3 linked regions of the Caenorhabditis elegans genome follow. The protein of the gene in region 2 interacts with the protein of the main gene of each other region in a pairwise test. Each region holds a gene or a part of one and is shown on either strand. Other genes may lie near its edges.

Region 1 (6,769 bases), 2.5 Mb from region 2:
GACGCGACACGCAACGCGCCGTAAATCTACCCCAGATATGGCCGAGCCAAAATGGCCTAGTTCGGCAAAACCCTTACATTTCAATTTATGAAGGAAGCCAGAATTCCGTGTAAAAATTAGAGAATTTTTTTTTTCGATCATTTTGTTTTTCAAATTTCATAAAATGAAGGTGTCGTTTTTAAGAGTACCAGTTCTCGGGCCGTGATGATATTACGGGAACACAAAATTCTGAGAATGCGTACTGCGCAGCATATTTGACGCGCAAAACATCTCTTAGCGAAAACTACAGTAACTCTTTAAATGACTACTGTAGCGCTTGTGTCGATTTACGGGCTCGATTTTTTAAAATGATTTTCTTTTCGAAAAAAATCTACTGGATTTTAATATTCTATAGACTCGGAAATGGAGCCCGTAAATCGACACACCAGCGCTACAGTAGTCATTTAAGGGGTTACTGTAGTTTTCGCTACGAGATATATTTTGCGCGTCAACTATGTTATGCATGCGCCAAAATTTCAGTCTGCAGAATATTACCCAAAACCGACATTTTGTAATTTTTGCGCCAAGAATACTGTGCCCTGGTCTCGGCACGACAAATTTTTGTTGAATGCGAAAGAGTTCTGTAGTTTTAAAATTTCAATGCGGCGGCGGGGTTGTAATCGTTTTTTATAGGTTTTTTGTAGTTGAATTTTTATCGAAAAGCTATAAAAATCGACGAAAATCCGGCAGCAACGAAAGTTCCAAACTACAGTACTCCTTAAAAGCGCACACCTATTCGCATTTGACAGAAATTTGTCGTGTCGAGACCAGGGTACCGTATTTTTGGCGTAAAATTAAGAGAATTTCAGAAAAATCACGTGGTGTCAGAATGCCCCATAACGGTTTGATCTACAAAAATGCGGGAATTTGGACGCAGACTTCTCAATTGATTTTGCATGGTTAAGAACGTGCAGATGGCGTCACATTTTTTGGTGGAAAAAATCCCGCATTTTTTGTAGATCAAACCGTTATGGGACAACCTGACACCATGTGAAAATTGCAATAAACGGGTAAAAAGACGCACAGCATTTCACACAAATGATTATTGTAAAAATATTTCGTTCGTGGCGAGACCTTTTTCACAAACAATTTACAATAGTCCAAAAAATTTCAGCATACTGGAAAACCAGGCCAGATTGAATGCTCCCGAGTTTCGGCGGGGGGTGCGTGTAACTACTCGGTTTGTTTGACAATTTGGAAGAGCTGCGAGAGAGCGAAATAGTGTTGATTTTGGGGAGTGCGCAGAACGGGTGAGCTAGATTTTCGGGTTGGTTGCACGTTTTTTTTCTTGCTCGGTTGTGCATGAGACGCGCGCGAGCAAGGGTCGACCTGAGTTTTTGACACGTCACAGTTATAGATACCATGCATTTAAAAAATAATTAACAATCGAATCTCAAATTTCATGTATTTTAACAAATAAATAGCCAAAGTATTTTAACAGAACAAATGAAAAAAACAAAAAAAATTCGGTGCCTCATGCTGGAATCGAACCAGCGACCTTCTGTTTACTAGACAGACGCTCTGCCACTGAGCCAATGAGGCGCTGGGTGAAAGGGGGAAAAAGGTCGAAGAAGAGACTTATGTCGCTGCCGCTGCCGGCGTCGCACGAAGACTATACTTTCGGCGGTCGTAAAATTGCCGGCACACGCCAACCATAATTGTCGTACGAGATACTTGAACGAAGAATGTGACGTCGGCGTCTGGAATCATTGATTTTTTGATTTTTTTGAAATTTTTTCAGATTTTTAGAGACACTAACGATTTAGGCTAACTCTCGCAGTCGGAGCCAGCGCACAAACGGCGTCATCGACCATTTGGAGCACGGAATTCTTCGCCACAGAATCGTTATTTCTCGCTTTAAATTCCACGGAATACGTGGGAAGTTTGCCAGTGCCGTCTGCCTTCAATGTGTCGGAGATTACCTGAAAAATTACTTTTTTTTATTTTATTAATTAATTTAATTAAATAAAAGCACCTTCATCAAAACTTCATTCATTTTTGAAAGATCCACAGCTAAAGTATGCTCCACCGGGTAAACTCGTTGCAAAAACCTGCAACGCGGAGCTTTTTGCGTCAGCTCGACCATTTTTTCGGCTAAAAGTTGAATATTCGCGTTTTTCACGCTCACAAAAATGCAATTCTTCACTCCCGTCGGTCTTTGAATGCATCTTCTCTCTTTTTTCACGAAATTTCCCGGCTTCGGCTGCCTCTGATCATCACAAGCCTTTTTCAACGCATCGGCAATGTCTTCATCGGAATCTTCAGCTTCTGCTGGATTTCCGGGTGCTTCTGAGCCTTGTGGAGCAGCTTCTGGTGCTTTAAGAGAGATTCCATTCGCCGGGTCTTCGAGAAGCTCGTCAATAATACTGTAGGCTTCTTGTAGGGCCTGCTTTTCGTGGCCTTCGCAGGAAAAGAATAGTCCGGTCACTCCGGCTTCCACAGATTTTTGTTTAACTCTGAAATTGTCTTAGAATAGTTTTTTTTTCTCAAATTTTAGCTCTCACTTTTGATTCCATCGGTTATGCTTTCGTTTTCTGTCGTTATCTGCCATTTTCAGTGATTTTTTCTGGAAAAATTGAAATTTTTGAATGAAAATTATTGTTTTTGAAGTTTTTTAACGAAAAATCAACGAAAAATGCGAAAAAAACACATAAAAACAATTAAAAACAAAAAAAAACAATTAATATTCCCTCCAACTTCTCTAAATCTCTTCTCTCTTGCACGTAACCACAGAGCGCGTTTGCACACCTTTAATTGCAGAGTCACCACCACTTTATGTGAAACAAACTACGAAAAAGAGGCGGTTCTTTACAGCGAAACTTGAAAAGAGCAGCCTCACTTGATAATTAGATGAAAAAATTTTGAATATACATTTACTATTTTGACGGAAACGCTGGAATTTGCGAAAATTTCGTGATGGCGTGCAAAATGACCCGCACCTTTTTCCGGTATTCTTCTTCTAGAAAATATATATTTCCTGAAAAAAAAGCTGAAATTCACAATTTTTCGAGCAATTTTTGATGTATAATAAGTATATATCCCGAACAATTTACCAGTTTTTTCCCGATTCACCAGTAAATTTGCTTCACATTTGAACTGAACTATAGGTTATCTCGAGATTTTTATCTATGTACCATGTGTTGCGACATTACGAAAAAAACGAGTTCCGACACAAAGGCCATGCAATTAGGTAGTAAATTGGGTGACTAACTGTGTGACGCGGCTATTATGGGTACGCAGAAAAATCCACGTGGAAACGCGCTCCACTGCCAATAGGAAATTCTCGGCCCCCGCACCATGACCCGCTAGGTGTTTGGCGGCAAAATAGTACATTCGAACGTTTTGGATTAGTTATGCCGATTTCGCCGGTTTCCAAGAATTTTTTGCCATTTTTTTCCTGTTTCAAATTTCCCGTGGTTTTAATGTTTTTAGGCCAAATTGGTGTTTTTAGGCCAAAATGACGAATTTCTGATTACCCTCATAAATTGAAATGGAAGAGTTTGCCAAACTAGGCCATTTTGGCTCGGCCATTACTGGGGTAGATTTACGGCGAGTTGAGTGTCGCGCCGCGGCTCGATTTTAGTTGTAAAACTAAATGCATTTGTCCGTGTGGAGTACACGATTTACCCACGCGTTTTCCTTCGGACGATTATCAATGGAGCGCAAAAAATTCAATGAGGAAGGGTAGAACCCCGTTATTTCGGCAATTTTCCTGTTTTAATGATTTTTAGGCCAAAATCACGGGGTTCTGTCTTTCCTCAGAGAATTTTTCGCGCTCCATTGACAATCGCCCGGCGGACAACGCGTGTTAAAATCGTGTACTCCACACGGACAAATAGACTTAGTTTTACAACTAAAATCGAGCCGCGACGCGACACGCAACGCGCCGTAAATCTACCCCACTTATGGCCGAGCCAAAATGGCCTAGTTTGGCAAACTCTTCCATTTCAATTTATGAGAGGGAAGCCAGAAATCCGTGGTAGCTTACAAAATGAAATTCCAGAAAAAGTAAAATAGTTACCACCTACCGTATTAGAGCTTGACGGCATAGTTGGCGCCTCCGCGGTAGATCTGTTGAAGGTCCACATGTTTTTTTTTCGTGGTGTGTGTCGCCTGTCAGTCTGGTATTCTAGATGCCAGCTTCTTCCTCTCTCGATTCACTTCCCGCCCCCTGATTTTTTTGTGTGTGTCTGCGCCCCCACAGTGTCTCTCTCAACCTGTCTTGTACGTCCTGCGTCTTTTGTTACAGCTTCTGGTATCTTCTGAATATACCACAGCAGGAGGGGGACAGTCAGTTGATTGGCAGACAAAAACATGGCAATTATTTAGTGACAAGCTTTATGATTGTAGGCTTTAGGGTCTGGAGACTTGGGGATAGGACCCTGAACGGGATGTTTTGTTGAGGATGGGCACTTTGACCTCCAGAAAGCGCGGGAAATTATTGAAATTTGTGACGTCATATGAGTTTATAATGAGGCGCCAGTAGGTCAAACGATTTCTGTAGGTCAAGCCCTGAATAATGTCCGTCACAGTCGGCTGGTGCGTTGGAGCACATTTGATTATATTCAGGCCATTTTGACTCGGCCACGGCTGGGGTCGATTTTTGCCGGAATTGAAAATTTTCGGCAAATCGGCAAAATGCCGGAATTTAAAATTTTCGGCAAATTGGCACATTACCGGAAATGAAAATGTCCGGCAAATCAAGAAATCGCCGGAATTGACAATTTAGGACAAACTGGCAAATTTGCCGGAATTTAAAATTTCCGGCAAATCGGCAAATTGCCATAATTGAAAATTTCCTGCACATCGGCAAACTGGCGGAATAGAAAATTTCCGGCAAATCGGGAACTCGCCGGAATTGACAATTTCCGGCAAATCGGGGAGTTGCCGGAATTGAAAATTTCCGGCAAATCGGCAAACTGGCAAATTGCCGGAGTTGAAAATTTCCGGCTAATCGTGAAATTTGCCGGAATTCAAAATTTCCGGCAAATCGGCAAAATGGCAAATTGCCGAATTTGAAACCTTCCTTTGCCGAACTGCAATTTCCGCTCACCGATTTTCAATGGAGCGCGAAAAACCGCTACTAGAAGCCCGTGATGATGATCTACTGTAGATCAATGTGAAATTTTTCCCGCGTCCGGGCATAGAACAAAAATTTTATTTTTTAAAAACCAGCTTCTCTTCCTCCTAAAATTTCCCTTTTTATCGCCCTACCCCTCCCCCTTCAACCCAGATTTCTCTTATCACCCCCCCCCCCCCCCCATCACTAATTTTCTAATTTTCCTTTCACTTTCATACAGTAAGCGGCAAAAAATAATTGCGAAGAAATAATAATTCATTACATATTGAGAATTTCGGGGGACTACTAGATAGAGATAACCGGTGCTGCAGCAGCTCCAATAAGCTTCTTCTCCTCGGCCTTCTTTTTGAGCCAGTCGAGAATGTTCTTGTCACGACGAATCGCCACTGAATCCGTTGTCAGGGACTGAAAGATTAGTTTTTAGTGAAGCCCTAGGTACCTAGGCACAAAAATGCCTGCCTGCTTCCAAGCCGGCCTAGATCTTTTCTCACCTGTGGTAGTACTCCGCGCTTGAAGTTGTTCGAGACAAATGAGGTATACAGACCGGAGAATCCCGAGAAATTGGTGACCAAGTCTGAGGAGAAGCACAGGTACAAAGTGTTGCTCGTCGATGTTATTGGAGCTGGCATATTCTTTCCGGAATAACTGAAAAAATGGTTATTTTATAGTATCCTTGGATTAAGATCAGTGGGGGATATGGTCGGGGTACTGTAGGAGTATTGTAGGATTACTGTAGTTTAGGAACACTTGAGTTTTTGTCTTTTGAAGGGATATTGGTTTAGGGTCAGTGGGGGATATGGTCGGGTACTGTAGAATTTCTGTAGTTTAGGCAAAATTGAGTTTTTGTCTTTTGAAGGGGTATTGGTTCAGGGTCAGTGGGGGATAAGGTCGGGGTACTGTAGAGGTACTGTAGGATTACTGTAGAATTACTGTAGTTTAGGCAAAGTTCAGTTTTTGTCTTTTGAAGGTATGTTGGTTTAGGGTCAGTGGGAGATATGGTCGGGGTACTGTAGTAGTACTGTAGGGGTACTGTAGTAGTACTGTAGTAGTACGGTAGAGGTACTGCAGGAGTACTGTAGGATTACTGTAGTTTAGGAAAAATTGAATTTTGTCTTTTGAAGGGATATTGGTTTAGGGTCAGTGGGGGATATGGTCGGGGTACTGTAGGAGTACTGTAGGATTACTCTAGAGTATGATATTTGATATGAAATATAGCAATATTGGTAGGTAGTCATAAAAACTATGGAGTTTTCTGTTTTTCTGCTTTAGTTAGATCCAATTACGGCTTTTTATTGAGACTAGGTTTCAGATCGCCTGCCTACCTTAGTCCGCTTTAGGTCGACCTCTCGCCTACCTACCCCTACCCCCTGTCTAACTTACTGTCCAATAAGCGGTGCGGAAGTGTTCGCTCCATCGTACACGGACACTACATCGTATCCGTCCTCTGTGTTGAAGGCGACAAATTGGAAGGAGATCCTGAAAATGTCACTTTTTATGAACTCACTATCAAGGATTATGTGGTCATATTTCATCATCTTATTTGAAATTTCGAGTAGTGCACGGGGAGCACACTTTTCGTAACCGTGACCATTTTGAAATTTGAGCATAAATAATTGTTCTTGTTGTTGAAAACTACCTAGACTTTTATGA
Region 2 (9,713 bases):
ATAAATAAATAAATTTAAATGTAAAAATAACCACAGAAATTACGTATTTATGAACAAATCGTTGTTGCTGTGTTTTAAGAGAATATAGCAAAAGTAAATGGAGAGCAGATGAGAGTGAAAATCATTGGAAACCAAACGAAAAAATCGACCCTAGGCAATGTATTGATAGGCACGATGATCGTGCTCATCGCGAGCCAAATATTCTCGCTCGATCAGTGTTTCGATGCGTTGCTTGATGATGATTGGTGACGGCATGAAGCGGTGGCGCAGTTGTTGGGTCACCTGGAAAATTGTTTTAAATTTTTGAAAATTGCAAAAATCTGCAGCGAATTTGGGTTTTTAATTGGCGTTGTTGTTGTTGTGCAACCGAATTTTTTTTTGAAAAACGGGAAGTCAAAAATTCGAAAAAAAAACTTAGGTTTTTCGAAAAATAGCTCGAAATTGAGCCCATTTTTATATTTTTGATTAAAAAAAAACATTTTTTTTCCGACATCCTCGACAATCTAAACACGATATATAAATCAATGTTCCTTTAAGAGTTGTGTAGATTTACGAGTACGTGTACTATGCGTGAATATTCATTTTTTGGCAACATTCACACTTTTTTCTCATTCTATATCGTATTTTTTGTTTCGTACTTCGATTTTAGCTTTAAAAAATATTTGAATATTTAAAATAAAAAATATAATGGAAAAATGCTCACCTCTGCCACCAGATTATTGTGATTCAACTTCTTTCGGGCCTTCATAATACGAACAATCGCCGCCTCCACTTCCAACTTTCGATCATCCTCAACTTTCTGGCGAGTTTCACGAATCTCGGGCTCCGATTCCACTTTTCCTGTCACCATTTGCACTTTGACACGTGTCAGCTTCGATTGGAAGTTGTCGTTGACGGCGAACTCGTCACTCATGTCTGGAAAAATTATAAATTGAAATTATCGATTTTTCTGGGTGCTTTTTTAATAGTTAACGTAAAATATTCCAAAAAACATAAATTTCCGTATGAAACAGTTCAAAAACGTGAAAAAGGCAAATTTTACTAGGGAATGGTGTTACCCCTGCAATCGCTAGGAGGACAAAACAAAGTGAAAATGGAAGATCAGATCTATGGCTACAAGAATCAGTTTTTGGAATCTGCTTAACTCGGTCCCAAAGCTGAAATTTTCGGTCTTAAAAAGTAGTCCTTTTTTTGCTCAAAATGCCGTTTTTCGTGTGTAGAAGTGGCTACATAAAAGTTTGGCACTGCAGCCGCCGTTCGAATGGCCGATTGGTGAACTCTTGTGCTCATTAATCTAAAGGTCACGGGTTCGTTCCCCACTAGGTATTAATTTTTTTTTGAATTTTTCCTCTAGCATGAAATATGCACAAAAACACGGTTTCTTCCGTTTTTTGGTAACTTCGGAATAAATTTTTTGGTTCCTGGGAATCATAAAAGTAATTTGGAAACTTTTTGGAAGTTTTCTTTTTTTGATAAATTTTCACTTTTCTCCCACCTGATGTATGCACATTTTTTTCTTCAAAAATAATTTTTCAAAATTTTTTCAAAAAGTGTTTGGTTTGAAAGAGCAGCATTAGTTTGGATATTTCTACGATTTTGGAGGATCAAATGTCATTTTTAGGAGAAAACCACTGTTGTTTTCTCTAGACTTTTTCACGAAAAGGACCTACTTTCAAAGACTTCCAGCTCCGTTGACGAGTAAAATAAAAAAGAGTTGTCAACTGCAAAGTTATTTTAAAAGTACCAATAAACAAATTGTCAGTTGAAGTTACTCTGCTAAATTTTATGGGTAGAGAGATATGGACATTAGTAATTAAGTAAGTTAAAGCTTCACTTCGATTAGCTATATCTCTCTACCCATAAAATTTAGCAGAGTAACTTCAACTGACAATTTGTTCATTGGTACTTTTGAAATAACTTTGCAGTTGACAACTCTTTTTTATTTTACTCGTCAACGGAGCTGGAAGTCTTTGAAAGTAGGTCCTTTTCGTGAAAAAGTCTAGAGAAAACAACAGTGGTTTTCTCCTAAAAATGACATTTGATCCTCCAAAATCGTAGAAATATCCAAACTAATGCTGCTCTTTCAAACCAAACACTTTTTGAAAAAATTTTGAAAAATTATTTTTGAAGAAAAAAATGTGCATACATCAGGTGGGAGAAAAGTGAAAATTTATCAAAAAAAGAAAACTTCCAAAAAGTTTCCAAATTACTTTTATGATTCCCAGGAACCAAAAAATTTATTCCGAAGTTACCAAAAAACGGAAGAAACCGTGTTTTTGTGCATATTTCATGCTAGAGGAAAAATTCAAAAAAAAATTAATACCTAGTGGGGAACGAACCCGTGACCTTTAGATTAATGAGCACAAGAGTTCACCAATCGGCCATTCGAACGGCGGCTGCAGTGCCAAACTTTTATGTAGCCACTTCTACACACGAAAAACGGCATTTTGAGCAAAAAAAGGACTACTTTTTAAGACCGAAAATTTCAGCTTTGGGACCGAGTTAAGCAGATTCCAAAAACTGATTCTTGTAGCCATAGATCTGATCTTCCATTTTCACTTTGTTTGTCCTCCTAGCGATTGCAGGGGTAACACCATTCCCTAGTTAGCAAAAAAAACCCAACTTTGCCAACTTTCCCATGTCCCATGGGAAAGTTGGCTGCAGCGATTGGAAATTGATTTTTTTTTCAAATTATCAATTTTTTTCAAAAAAATTCGAAAAACTATAATTTCCTTTTCATACCTATCGCATCTTTTCCCTTATTCTTTCTGACCAAAATCCGCTGCGACGCTTTTCCGAGAGCCAGCGACTGCAAATTCCTCTTCAACTCTCGCTCGGGAATCTTAAGCTCATCCATCAGCTGCTGACATGAGATCCGATTGTGATGGTTGAACTGAAGGAGAATGATCATCTGATGCGTATTGACCTGGAGAATCTTGTGCTCCGGTTTTCGTTCTTTCATCGACTCTCCACTGCTCGACGGTCCAGGACCATTTTCCTCGTTTGACATGGATGCTTTTGGTGGTGGATAGAATGTGGCTTTGACGTCAGCGTTTCCGAGAAGTGTGTTGATTGTCAGCTTACGGCCAGTGTGCTTTTCAGTGTAGTATTGTGTGAACATCTGAAAAACGAGGGGAAATTGAAGAAATTCCAAAAATCTTTGTGAAAAAATATTTTTTTAAAAATTGCCCTGGTTTTATATTTTAGCTTGAAAGCACGTTTAATCGCACCCAATAATATTTTTAAACTCGCGCCAGAGATATTCTCATTGGAGCGCACCGTGTTGTGTCGATTTACGGAGATTTCAGTTTTTCCACAAAAATGAAACATACTTATTGAAAAATTGAAATTGGCCTGAAAATTTCATGAGAAATCTCGTAAATCGACACAAGTGTGGCGGTCCAATGAGAATGTCTCTGGTGCGCGTGTGAAAAGCGATTTCAAGCAAAAATAATAGATATTCGGAATCTTTTTTGGCTTTTCTGGCAGAAAAATGGATTTCTAGGTATTTGGTCAGAAAAACTAGAAGAAACGTTTTTTTTTTGAATTCATCTCATCGCGACTGGAAATTAAATTTTGAAAAAAAAACATACTTGTTGTTTTTTGATTGGAAAAACCGAAAAAAATATATATTGTCTCTAAAATGCACATTTTTCTGTATAAAAAATCCATCTTTTGGCAAAAAACGACAACCCTGCGTGTAAGCAGACATTTTTGCGGGTTTTGTGAAACATCAAGCTCAAAAATTGCAAAACCAATTGAAAATTCGAATTACCTCATAGGCAACCGACAACTCTTGCGGCAACACAACCGGATTACACTGAACCGTCGGCCAAACGCCCGCCGTCAAAACTCTAAGCGATATGTCAATGCTCATTTTGGTCGGCTGAGCCTCTCGCCAGTCTCTGAAGCTTGTGGCCAGTGTCAGCCAAAGCTCCTTGTCTCTGAACATATTCTCAAGCTTCTGAGTAAACTGGCAACCACACTCTGTCTTCAGCTTTGCCAGCAGAGCCTTCTCCACATCGTCGGAGCACGATTTGTCGAGCAAGAGACGTTTGGCGAGGTATTGCTTGAAATACTTCTCGAATACATCCTTCTCCTGTAGATAGCGGAACAAGATCATCACATTGTCGAGCTTATTGTCCATTTCGGCGTCCGACACACATTTCAGACCGCTTCGCAGCATATCGTCCATGTAGAGGGCCACAAATTCCGGCGATTGGCGATTCGAGTTGAGGAACGTCTCGAAATCATGCTGGAAGCGATTCTTAAAGTCACGATCGTCGGCAAACGCAGTGGTGAGCAGACTGGAGAAGTAGTCTTTGAGCTGGAGCAATTCGTTGACAAAATTGACGGGGTTTTTGAGCAGATCCTCATTTTTCACAATGTTCGAGCCGGTTTCGTTGAGATATCTGGAAAAAAAAGTTAACTTTTCTTGCTGAGCAACCCCCAATTCTGCTCTAGTTTTCTGAATGCTCCGTGTTCAACTGTTAGGGTTGGTGTTATCTAAAAACTAAAACCACCAACAGCTGAGGCGTTTTAAGGAGAAGCGGCGGTGTTCGACGTAATGGACAACAGAACAAATAAACAGATTGCTGCGGGCGAGTGACACGGGTTTAGGTCAGAAAAGTAGAGTTTGATAAATAAAAATACAGTAAATTGGCTGGAATTTAAATTTCTTGAAGCGAAAACGTGGCCGCGAAACCTCTACTAACACGGCCATGTGTAGATTTACGCGACTCGTGTACTCCACGTGGATTATTTTTTACGGTTTCTGGCTGAAATGCTTGCATTGGTGGTGTTTTACCATTAAAATTAGAAATAATTTGAACGATTAAGCATTTTAGCTAAACACTGTAAAATCCTCTTCAAAAAAAGTGCCAAAGTAAAGTCTAGATTTAACCATCAAATACATAAATTTTCGAGGAGCACAAAAGCTGGTTAAACCGACACATGGAGCCATTTTGGGTGAAATTTTCAATTTTTTACAAAATAAAATCATTGAAATCTCCGCATTAAAGCAAAAACCCGTAATTTCTGGGGTAAAAAAACAAAATTTCCCCTCGAAGAGTACACAGGCTTCGTAAATCGACAGATAACCATGCTAGTGCCTTTTTGTGGTGAAAATTGTTCAAATTTTAATTTTACAACGTTCCTCCCACGGCTGTAATCACCAAATAATTCAATTTCTAAAAAAAAATCGCGCGAAAAACTCACTCGCTAACCGCCTTAAGCAGCGCCTTCAATCCACCACCCGGTACTGTCACCGAATCTCCGATACGTTTGAAAATACGGAAAATGCGAGTCAAATCCTCAATCTTCTTGTGCTCCAACATAAACTTCACACCACCATTCTGCATGTAGACAATCGTCTGAATATGCTCAGCAACCATCACATCATCCATCACCTGCAGGATTTTGGCCTCTGTCATTTTGTCAAGATATCTCGACGCTCGGCTCGCCTCGTCGTGCATCGCAATCTCCACCTGTGCCAGATAGAAGCACGCGTCATTGTCGCCAGAAAGCCAATTCTTGCACACATCCCGATAGTAATCACTAGTCTCCTTCAGAAGTGGCCTCTCAAATTCGTCCTCATAAACCGTCCGGCTATCGATTCCTAGCGAGATGAGCATATCACACGCGTTTTTTATTCCGTGCCAATTGATTTGATTCGATTTTCGATCCAATTTGATAAGCTCCAGAAGAGCATCGCGAATTCGGTCGCCAATCCCGTTTTGCCGCAGAATTTCCGTCCGATACGCGTCGAGACCCAGATTATAGACCGGCAGGACGTGATTATTCTGTGCCACGTAGATCCGATCCATATACATCAGAATATCACGAATCATGACCATGGCGACAGTGTGATCAGCCCACGATTCGGCGACAGTCTCCAGGAAGCTTCCAGAATTCATTGATTCGATAATTCGAATTCGAACCGACGCCATATGATCCTGAATCACGTCTTTCAGGCCATTATAGAGACGTTCTCCGTGCTTGTGGAGCACCATTGTATATGCGTTGCGGTAGAGCTCCTCGAAACTCAAGCCCGAATTGTTTTTGCGTTGGATTTCCTGTATGGCACGCTTCAAAAGTTCCCATGTCTGTGTCACATATTGCTCGTCTATTGTGGCCTGAAAAAAAATCATTTTTCTCCGTTTTTTTTTTGCGGCTTTTCTAAATTTTGGGCATTTTCCTTAAATGACCAAAAACTGGCCCGACTATTAAAAAATTTCCAAAATTTCATTATAAGAATTCAAAATTTTCGGAAAAGCGCCAAAATTTGCTAAACTCAGGGATTTTCCAGCTAGAAAAGTTTACGAAATATCAGATTTTAGCAAAATTTGGCAAAAATTTTGGAACTTTTTTGGGATGAAATTCGGTAAATTTCGATCAAAAATGCGTTTTTTTTTCGTGAAAAAAACGCGAAAAACTCTTATGTGAGGTCATTTTTGCGAGAACATTGCCGTTTATAACAAATTTCATGTTTCTAATGGCTAGTCCAAGCAAATAGGAAAAAAAATAGAAAATCGATAAAAAACGGCGGAAATACGATTTTACAGTTTTTCTCTTCGTTTTTTCCTGGTTAAACGGTCAAAAACAATTATTGACCATTAGAAATCCCTCAGAATCGATTTTGTTATATGAAAAAAAAATATTTTGCTTTTGTTCTTTAGAAATGACGAGTTTTGGCACGTGGCACGCAAACTGAAAATGATTGCCACGTGGCATACAGTTGCCAGTGGAAAAATATCAGTTTCTCATCAGAAATTGACGGATTGTTCGGATATCGCGGATAATTCGGCCGTAACATTCCAAGTTTCGTTTTAAAAAAATCGATTTTTCACGCAAAACAAGGAGACAGGCTTGATAGAGGACTAAAATCTGTGTGTGTAAACCTACCATAAATGGGCGAATTCTCATTTTTTGTTGTCCACCATTACCGGAGCGTCCGCTCATCTCCAAAAATGAGTCGATTCCGAACGAACTGGTCAAGTCAGAATCTCGCTCGTTTTTCGTGCACACTGAAATAAACTTGATTTTCCGTTCTCGAAAAGCAAAAAATTTGAAAAAATCGTACTGCGGAATGTTATTATTGCAGAAAAAGCGCGCACTGATAACAGAAAAAACAAAACTAACTATTTTCAGCTTCAAAGTTGAGAAGTCGCGAGTAATTCGAAATAAATCGATTTTGCTTTGTTTTTTTTTCGAAAAAACTTTGAAAATCCGGTAATTAGAATGTCACGCAAAAATAAATAGCTGGATATCAACTTAATTACTCGGAAAAATCAATATCATTATCTCGAAAGTCACTGGAATTTTAATTTCGCGCGTTTTTCCAGAACTTTTTGCCTATTTTCCGGCTCAATCAATCAATATTTCACTTCGAATCAAGTCTAAAACACCTTTAAAAGCTTCAATTTCGAAAAAAACTATGAAAAATGCGAGAAAAATCGAACGGGAACAGTGTGTTTTGGAGTTCAGAAGTGCACCGAGACTGCGTCAATGCGGGTTTGCTGGCGCGCTCCTCGTGCGTTGGCGCTTTTCTCGTGAGGAAGCTTTAAAAATTAATTTTCAACCAGAATTTTAGAATTTTCAGAGAAAATTGGCGGTGTCCACGTGGAAAAATAAATAGTGTTTTCGGTAGAATAAACTTTAAATTTATTTAAAAGTACAAAATTTGTGGAAAGCCCTCGAAAATCGGTTGAAAACGATCTAAAATGATTAAATTTACTTAATAAATTAACAATATTCGCTGTTTCAAATTAATAGAAAGTCGCAAAATAAATATTTTTATTTGAAAATAAGATGATGTTGAAATTGGAAATTTGAGAAAAAACAAGAATTTTAAAAAAATCAGAAAAATAAATAAAATTATAATTAGCCGAGTCGAAGTTGACGTTGAGAAGAGGAAGTTGAGTGATCTGAAAAAAGAAACAGTTTAATAAACGAAAACGAGTTTTAATACTTCAGGAAGGAGTACAGAAATATACAACATTTCCTATTCAAGCGGAAAACGGAAATTATGGGGTGTTTAGGGTGGCGGAAGAAGCTGGGATCAAATCATTCATACAGTTCAACTACAATGATTCGAGTCATGGCTTCCTGGATCTTATTACTTTTTATTCTGAATTTTTTAATTTCCTGTAAGTTTTGCCAAAAGCTAGGATTTTTTGAAGGCGTAAAAATCGTGTTTTGCCATAAATCTGAGTAATCTTACAATTAGTAAGCTGAGCGTAATTGTTCAAAAAATGGTATAATTTTTCACAATTTTTCTCAATTTTGCACCAATAATTCAAAAATGGTCAATTTATTATTTCGAAATTTCTGCGTTTTAGGCTTTAGGCTAAGAGAAAATCCAATAAATATTGCAGGAATACGCAAAAAATAGAATTCATTCGCGCAGGAATTCAAAATTAATGTGGTCATTTCTAATTTTTTTTGCGAAATTTAAAAATAATAGCAATTATATACAGATTTTTTTCACTGTTTTCTCTTTTTTTGCAATTAAAGTCAGGGCTACCGTACTCCTGGTGGCTCGTGTTCTTCACCGTGTATATTACGGTAACGCAAAATTCTGAGAATGCGTATTGCGCAGCAAATTTGACGCGCAAAATATCTCGTAGCGAAAACTACAGTAATTTTTTTAAAAATTGCTACTGTAGCGCTTGTGTCGATTTACGTGCTCGATTTTTGAAATGAATTTGTTTCCGAATAGTGATATCGATATTTTATTTTCCTCCGCGCCTGCATAGTATTTTCTAAATTTTTTGCTCAATTTTAATCGAGCCCATAAATCGACACAAGCGCTACAGTAGTAATTTAAAAAATTACTGTAGTTTTCGCTATGAGATATTTTGCGCGTATACGTTTCGTAATACGCATTCTTCGAATTTTAGTCTCCTGTAATTTCAAAGGGGGCGAGGGAGGCAACCGAACATTTTCGGAAATTATCGAATTTCCGTACGAAAAATACTGTCTATTCCTGTTTCAAAAGTATCAATAATGATTCAATATTTCCCGCCAAAACCAATATGAATTCAACAAAAAAAGCAGTGAAGCCCTTTTATTTCCGGTGTGCATCAAAAGTTCTCCTGAACTTTGTTGCCCAATCTCTGAGTATATCGTGAGATATTTTATATACTTTTGGGACGAAAAAAAATGAAAGGACATTCATATTCCGGCTTGCACAAATAGTAGTAGCACTACAAAATTTCATTGAATATGTAGGCGTGACGTAGTTAGAAGCCTATCTTTGTTATATCATAAAGATTAAGAATTTAACAATTATTCACCTAACAACAAGGAGGTGTGATAGACCGACATCATTTTGTGCTCGAATTAGAAAAAAATTGGATTTTTTCACAAATTCATTTTCTTCGAGATGTCTCATTTGAAAGCTTATATTCAGATTTTTCAGACTATTACACAAATTCAAACACCTGAAACTTCGATCTGAAATTTTCAGTGTATTTTCCACTTTGTTCAGAGCATGTAGAATTTTTAGAAAGTGGATAGAATCTACCAAAAAATCAGATTTTTTCAAAAAGATGCCAAAACGTTTGCCTATTCTTGAAAACCTCCAAAATTCAAAAGTCAAAATAAAAAAAAAACATTTTTTGTGCCTCTACAGGCCATGAAAGTAGTGAAAAATGCACTGAAAATTTTCAATTCAAAATTTCTATGTGATAAGCTTCATCGTTTAATTTTTC
Region 3 (6,897 bases), about 17 Mb from region 2:
TGAGTGTCAAGGCATTCGAAATGAAGCTGAGCACAGTCATTTTTCCCTGAGCCGACGCATTTTTATCGGTTAAAATGTTGGATACAGCCGGAATAATATCATCGAGACTATCTTCAAGGCCTGATGGATAGGTCCGAATTAGGGCCGAAAGAAGTTCAATGCATTTTGGACCAGTTTTCGGGTGTTTTTTCATCGATTTTGTGATTGTACGAAGAAGCACATCTTTCTGATCAGCTAACGATTGAATTATAGCCAACTGGCTGCGTGATAGATAATTCGTCGAAAATTTGGTTCCACCAATCACCACAATATCATCAGTTTCAATGGAATCCTCGTCGGCGGCCACAACGGCCTTCTGCAAATCTGGGACCAAAATGGAGATCTGATTGAGTAGGGCAATGTAGACTGAGATGATTTCAGTTCGGACAGTCTCTTCGCGTTCTTTGAATCGTCCAATCACTACTGGACCGATTTTTTGCGAGAGATTGAGAAGGGATTCCCGGTGTGATGAGATCATTGCTTCGATGGCTTTTGCGGCGGCGCGGCGAACTTTCCATGTGACGTCTTCGTCGTCGCTGTATTCATCTTCGTCGTCTGCAAAAAATTTGAATATTTAAAGGTGGACTACGCTCAGCGAGGAAATTGCTTTAAAACACGCCTATGGTACCACAATGACCAAATACCATGATTAAAAAATTCAAAAAAATTTTCCAAATTTTATATGATTTTTTGAAAATTGGAAAAATCGCAGTTTTCCCCTAATTCCTTTTTGAATTTCCGCCAATTGGATTTGTTCGATGGAGCGCGCTTGCACGTTTTTAAATTTATTTATTTTATTTATTGTTATTTTCCACCAACTTTTAAAGTTTTCGGTGTATTTTTGCTTGAATTTAGAGAAAAAGTCAAAATAATTGCAAATTTTCGATTAAAAAGCACGCTACCAGGAAATTAGTTAATTCAGGTTTTAAATCGTTTAAAAGCGTTACTTTTTCATTTTTACGCCTGTACGTTTGCTTTTTAATCGAAAATTTGCATTTATTTTGACTTTTTCTCTAAAATTCGAGCAAAAATACACCGAAAACTTTAAAAGTTGGTGGAAAATAACAATAAATAAATAAATAAATTTAAAAACGTGCAAGCGCGCTCCCTCGAACAAATTCAATTGGCGGAAATTCAAATAGGAATTAGGCAAAAACTGATATTTTTTTCAATTTTCAAAAAATCATATAAAATCTAGAAAAATGTTTTTGAATTTTTTTATCATGATATTCGGTCATTGTGGTACCATAGGCGTGTTTTAAAGCAATATCCCCACTGAGCGTAGTCCACCTTTAAGGCTAAAAAAAGCTCCAAAATCAAGAATTTCAGCTAAAAAATCTTTAAAATCTTCAATTTTCGCACAGTTTCCTACCATCTTCATCATCTTCCATTTGCTCATCCTCATCATCATCTCCATACTCGTAATTCGGATCATAGGCCAGTGCATCAGTGAGCTGTTGGATAACTTCCTTCTCAAAAGCTACAACTTCCTGTGGATTCCGGTACAAAAATACTTCCAATCCTTGAATAGAAGCTTCCCGTAGATCATCGTGCTCCGATTCGGTTCCAGGATCAATTTGAAGATATTGAAGAAGGAACGGAACAACTTTCGGCGTATGCTTCGAGAATCTCGATCCACTGGCTCGTGCGACAGTGCTCAACGCGATCACAAGTGTACGAAGTTGCACATTTTGAGCAGCCGACGATGGAGGGGATCGTTGAGCCAGCTCTTTGAGCAAATCTTGAACGAGCTCATCGTAAAGCTCTCCGTTGATTACAGAGGCAAGATGTCCGATTCCAGTGATTGCCTTCTTTCTGATAGCGGAACGGAATGAATACAAGTGATCTACCATCACTTTCAACGATCCTTTGTGCATTTCGGGAACCTGGAACTAGAAATGTGTGAGATTTTGCTTCAAAAAGTGCCAAAATAGTCTTAAATTCGGGAAAAACGTGAAATTTCGGCTGAATTCCATCTGATTGGTTGAAAAGTGGGCGGGGCGAATCGCTGATTGGTCGCAATTCCCATTTTGGAGGAAATTAGCCAAAATTGAAAAATCGCGTTGGATTTTTCGTTTTTTTTTCGAAATTTGGCATTATTTCAGAGTTTTTAAAGCAAAAAATGGAAAATTTTTGAAAGTTTGGTTTAAAAAACCCAAAACTGACAATTTTTCAATTTTAGGGTTACTGTAGCTCCACAAATTCGCAAACACTGACAACACACCGGATTTGACGGCAAAATGCAGAATAATCAATATTTTCCGCAATATGTCGTGTTTGCGTGCTTTTAAGGGTACAGTAATCCCGGTAACGAGCAAAATGGCTGTTTTCTAGAGTACTGTAGCCTCAAAAGTGAGCAAACACCGCCAAGACACCGGACTTGACGACAAAATGTAGAAAAAAACGGAATTTCTGCAAAATGACGGTTTTTGGCTAGATTTGGGGTATTTTTTTTGAAATTTTGAAGATATTTGAGCTCAAAAAAGGCTCATTTGGGCTATTTTAAGGCTTGAAAAGCCCAAAAAATAGGATTTCCGGGTGTAAATCCACACTTACAACATCACCAAATCTCAGCAAAACTTCTCCAATCAAATCGAGAACATCGACACGAGCCGCATCATCTGGAGCACACAACGACAGAGAATCCACAAATTTTGGCAACATTCTCTTGACAACTGTAGTTGTTGCATTACTTGAAGCCGATGGAGCCAAATTTAGAATCATTGCTTTAAGTGTGAGAGAATGAATATCTCTTGATTGTTCAGCTTTCGAAAAAACGTGTGGAGTGAGCTCTTCGACGAGATATTCCAGCTGAAATTTGGGATTTTTTCAAATTTTTAATGATAATTTTTTTAAACAAAAATTTTTAATGTTAAATATTTAATTTCCCGTTGAAATGTTGAAAAATCTACTGAAATTTTGAACTTTCTGTGGAAATTCGACTGAAAATTCCAATTTTTTAAACTTTTTATTGTAGAAATATTGAATTTCACGCTGAAAATTTATTTTAAATTCGAATTTTCCGACAAAAATTGATTTAAAATTTGACCATCCATCCAAAAAATGACTTTTTTGTCAAACTTTGACTGGAAATTCGTGTTTTCCTCCAAAAATTGAATGAAAATGTGACTTTTCTGAAATTTTATATAAAAATCGACTGAAAATTCGAATTTCCAGCCAAAATTCCATTTTTTGTACGAAATTTTCAAACTTTCCAGTCATTTCTTAATTTTTTGAAGGAATTTTCGTATTTTTCTCATTGAAATCTCCAGTTTTGTCGTATTTTTTCCAATTTTTTCCGTTAAAAACACCGAAATTAAAATTTTGAATTTTCCGATTACTGACATGATGCGTTTTGATTTTCGATGGCTGAGCAAGGAGTCCAATACATTTGATCGCAAGATTTTGAACTTCTCCGTTTGAGTCACTGAGCAGTTTGATTAGAGCACGAATGACCTGAAAAAAATTAGAAAATTCAGATTTTAGCTAAATTTTGAATTTTTTTTTGGAATTTTTGTTTAAATTCCGGCGGTTTTTAGTTAATTTTAGCCATTTTTTGAATTTTCAACATTTTTTGGCAGAAATTTCCGGTTTTTGCCAAAATAAACAGTTTTTTTTTGTAATTTTAAATAATTTTTTTTTCGTTAAAAATTTAAATTACAGCAGAATTTAGCAGTTTTTCGGATTTTTAAATAATTTTTTTTGTAGAAAATTACGGTTTTTGCCGGTTTCGAATTTTTTTTGTAGAAATTTCAATTTTCAGCTAAAATTTTTTTTGAAATTTCAAACAGATTTTTCTGTTGAAAGTACAGATTTTAGCTATTTTTCACCTTTTTTTTCAAAATTACAATAAAATTTCACTGGAAAATTCAATTTTTAGGGTTATTTTTTAGCTTTTTAAAGCAATTTTTGCACCAAAAACCGCCAATTTTTGAGATTTTACTATACTTTAGCAGTCGAATCGTCCTCCAAAGCGATAGTTCCAGTCTGCAAATCTTTCATCAAATCATTGCAAGCCATGAACCGGAAATCCTTATCCGGATTCGACATTTTGTCGACCAGTTGCCCGACATGATAAGCACTCATCTGGAAACAAAATTTGGTCTGAAAATCACTTTTCGGGGTCTGAAAACGTGAAAAAGATAACCAAAAGAGGCAAGAAAATAGACAATTTTGGGCGCCAAAATAAGTGATCAAAAACTCTAAAAACGAAGTTCATCGGGTGTTGGTAGAGAACAAAATCTATGAAACTGGGTCAACAATTGAATAAATCCGGGAAAAAATGAAGGTGACTATGGGAGAAATTAATGAAAAAAAAACAGAAACAAGGATAACAAAAGGACAAAAACGACGAGAAAAATGCGAAAAAAAAGAAGAAAATTATCTTTGGAATATCAGAAAATAAGAATAAAAACAACAAAAACTGGAGGGATTTTTGTCTGAAAATGGTCTGAAATTGACGAAAAAGGGTCGATTTTTTCGAAAATTTGACTCAAAATTTGCAAAAATCTGAATTTTTCGTTTTTCTGGCGGATTTTGGCAATTTTTTGAGTCAAAAAATAATTTTTTGGACTGAAATTGGTATTTTTAGGCCAGTTTTTGGGAAAAAAAGCTTGAAATATCGCAATTTCAGATCAAAAAATAGTTTTTTGGTGGAAAAAGCCATTTTTTACATATTTCGCTCAAATTTTGGATTTTTAAAAACATTTTTGCCTCAAAAAAAAAAACCACTTTTCGGGGTAAAAGTGTTCCTTTTTAGGCATATTTTTGGGAAATCGGCTGAAAAAATGAGTTTTCTGGCGCAAAAATGTAAATTTTAAGATAAGCAGCTCAAAAAACGGCAAAAATTGAAAAAAAAATCGAAAAATACCAAGTTTTGAGCGTTTTCCCGTTTTTCGCACAAAAAATAGCTTTTCGGAGAGCAAAAATCCAAAAATTCAGCAATGTCAGCTTGAAAAATGGATTTTTGGCTCAAAAACTGCAAAAAATCCAAAAATTCAGCGATTTCAGCTCGAAAAATGGATTTTTGGCTCAAAAAAAGGCAAAAAATCGGTCAATTTCTGCAAATTTTAAGACGATTTTCTGACAAAATCATCTACTCAACTACAAAAAAAGTGAAAAAAAACGACGAAAAATTGAGGAAACAATTAATGGAAAGAAGCCAATCTCTGAGTTCCTGGCACAGCATTTCCCTCGAGTTTCAGTTTCCCCAACATTGCTCCAACAACATCTTCACGCTTCTCCTCCGAGTCATTCTCTTTTGTATGATGAAGATGCTCCTCTTCATTTACAACTTGAAGAGCCGGACTTCTTGACCCAGAGAAATATGAATTAAGTTGACGAGTTGCGGCAAGCAGAAGACCGAAGAATGGTGGAGATGGAGTGAGTGGATGGGAAAGGTATTCGGGATGGAATTGGGCTCCGACAAAGTATGGGTGGTCTGGAATTGGAGATAAGCTTCAAGGGGTGCCGGTTTTTTTTAATTTCGACTTTTTGAAAAATCTTCTCAAAAATGAATAAAATAATGTTTATCAGCATAAACAAAATTTGATTTTTTTTTAAAGTTTGTTCATCGATTTTCACCAGAAAAATTTAGATTTTTAGGAAAATAACTTCCAAAAATGGAATTTTTGTTAGGTTTTTCGGACCAAAAAACTTCTTTTTTTTTCTTCAAAAATGTTATATTTTAGTTGGTATGACGATAAAAAACCAACAGTTTCTTTTTTTTAGCCGAATTTTTTTTTGACAGTCTTGTTAAAATTTTTCTGAAATTTCAAAAAAAAAATTGTAGATTTGTCCGGAAAATGGCTTAAAATTTGGGCTATTTTTCCCACATTTTTGAAGAAAAATATCGATTTCCTTATAGTTTTTACTCGTCAACTTGAATAAAAATTATCAAAAAAATGAAATTTTTTTTTTTTTTTTTTTGATTTTTCGAAAACAAAGTCGATTTCTCGGAAAATAGCTGAAAATTTGGGGTGTTTTCCCACATTTTATAAGAAAATAATATGCCTTTTTATGTTTTTCTCCACAAAAAAAATTTGATTAAAAAATCGAAATTTCTCGATTTTCTCCAATTACACCCTTGGTAAGAATTTTTAAAAAAGTAGAAAAATACGACTAAGAGAAAACGGCCTAAATTAAGAGTGACAGGGCCAAACCAGCAGATTTTGAGAAAAAAATTAACTGTTAGCAAAGAAAATTGCGTAACCACTTGCAGAGAGAGAGTCATCAATTTCAAAATCAAATGGTTCGCAATGGAGCGCGTTCGCTCTCTCTGAAAATTGCCAGGACGCAATTTCCAGAGGTAATTATCGATTTGGAGCAACTAAAGCGAGAAGAATATCGATTGATCTCATGAAATAGCTTGTGTAAACTCGAAATATGCTAAAATAAACACATTTTGAATTGAGATATTTTAAAAATGTTTCAAAACTTTTTTATTACGGTTCAAACTTTCGAACTAATTAAAATTGATTTTTAATTGAATCTTGTCTTATTTCTGTCATTAATAGCACGTTTTTTCGTTGATTTAGGTATATTTAAGGTCTATAGGTAGGCAAAATGCACCTGGAATAACGAAAAATGTGAACTAATAAGCAATTAAAAATCAATTTTTCGGCCGCTTAATTAGCTACAAGCTGGGCATTTTTTCATAATTTTTAACCGCCATAAAACATTTTTGAAACATTTTTAATGGCAAAATCTAAGATTTTAGCCTTTTTTTTCTTAAAATTTGAAGGTTTCTGTATGAGAATCTGTCTGCCAGGGCTTAAAAATTGAATTTTCGTCCTTATATTTACCCTTCATCTCGAACATTTCCATACGAACAGCTGGCCGAGTAACCCCATCGCCTCC

The links.
Region 1: the proteins of cul-3 (region 2) and kel-8 interact in a two-hybrid assay, tested with the Caenorhabditis elegans proteins (one study listed by BioGRID).
Region 3: the proteins of cul-3 (region 2) and cand-1 interact in a two-hybrid assay, tested with the Caenorhabditis elegans proteins (one study listed by BioGRID).

Annotation. Positions count from the first base shown.
Region 1 is NC_003283.11:2,668,822-2,675,590, reverse strand, and holds the start of kel-8 (BTB domain-containing protein), read right to left. Parts: upstream 4,128-6,769; coding exon 4,068-4,127; intron 2,606-4,067; exon of another isoform or gene 2,591-2,605; coding exon of another isoform or gene 2,544-2,590; intron 2,496-2,543; coding exon of another isoform or gene 2,015-2,495; intron 1,962-2,014; coding exon of another isoform or gene 1,799-1,961; intron 1,740-1,798; coding exon of another isoform or gene 1,618-1,739; exon of another isoform or gene 1,424-1,617; intron 1-1,423. Other genes in the region: thum-1 (THUMP domain-containing protein), read right to left, coding at 1,618-1,739, 1,799-1,961, 2,015-2,495, 2,544-2,590; W02G9.4 (CUB domain-containing protein), read right to left, coding at 5,405-5,524, 5,611-5,764, 6,500-6,595. UniProt on the Caenorhabditis elegans protein: Substrate-specific adapter of a BCR (BTB-CUL3-RBX1) E3 ubiquitin ligase complex that regulates degradation of glutamate receptors in neurons. The BCR(kel-8) ubiquitin ligase complex mediates ubiquitination and subsequent degradation of rpy-1.
Region 2 is NC_003283.11:174,891-184,603, reverse strand, and holds the start of cul-3 (Cullin-3), read right to left. Parts: upstream 7,026-9,713; 5' UTR 6,961-7,025; coding exon 6,904-6,960; intron 6,135-6,903; coding exon 5,218-6,134; intron 4,413-5,217; coding exon 3,776-4,412; intron 3,122-3,775; coding exon 2,743-3,121; intron 916-2,742; coding exon 704-915; intron 283-703; coding exon 151-282; 3' UTR 1-150. UniProt on the Caenorhabditis elegans protein: Probable core component of multiple cullin-RING-based BCB (BTB-CUL3-BTB) E3 ubiquitin-protein ligase complexes which mediate the ubiquitination and subsequent proteasomal degradation of target proteins.
Region 3 is NC_003283.11:16,800,102-16,806,998, reverse strand, and holds the start of cand-1 (Cullin-associated NEDD8-dissociated protein 1), read right to left. Parts: upstream 4,128-6,897; 5' UTR 4,126-4,127; coding exon 3,988-4,125; intron 3,496-3,987; coding exon 3,385-3,495; intron 2,851-3,384; coding exon 2,596-2,850; intron 1,926-2,595; coding exon 1,412-1,925; intron 595-1,411; coding exon 1-594. Other genes in the region: ctps-1 (CTP synthase), read right to left, coding at 5,187-5,479, 6,843-6,897.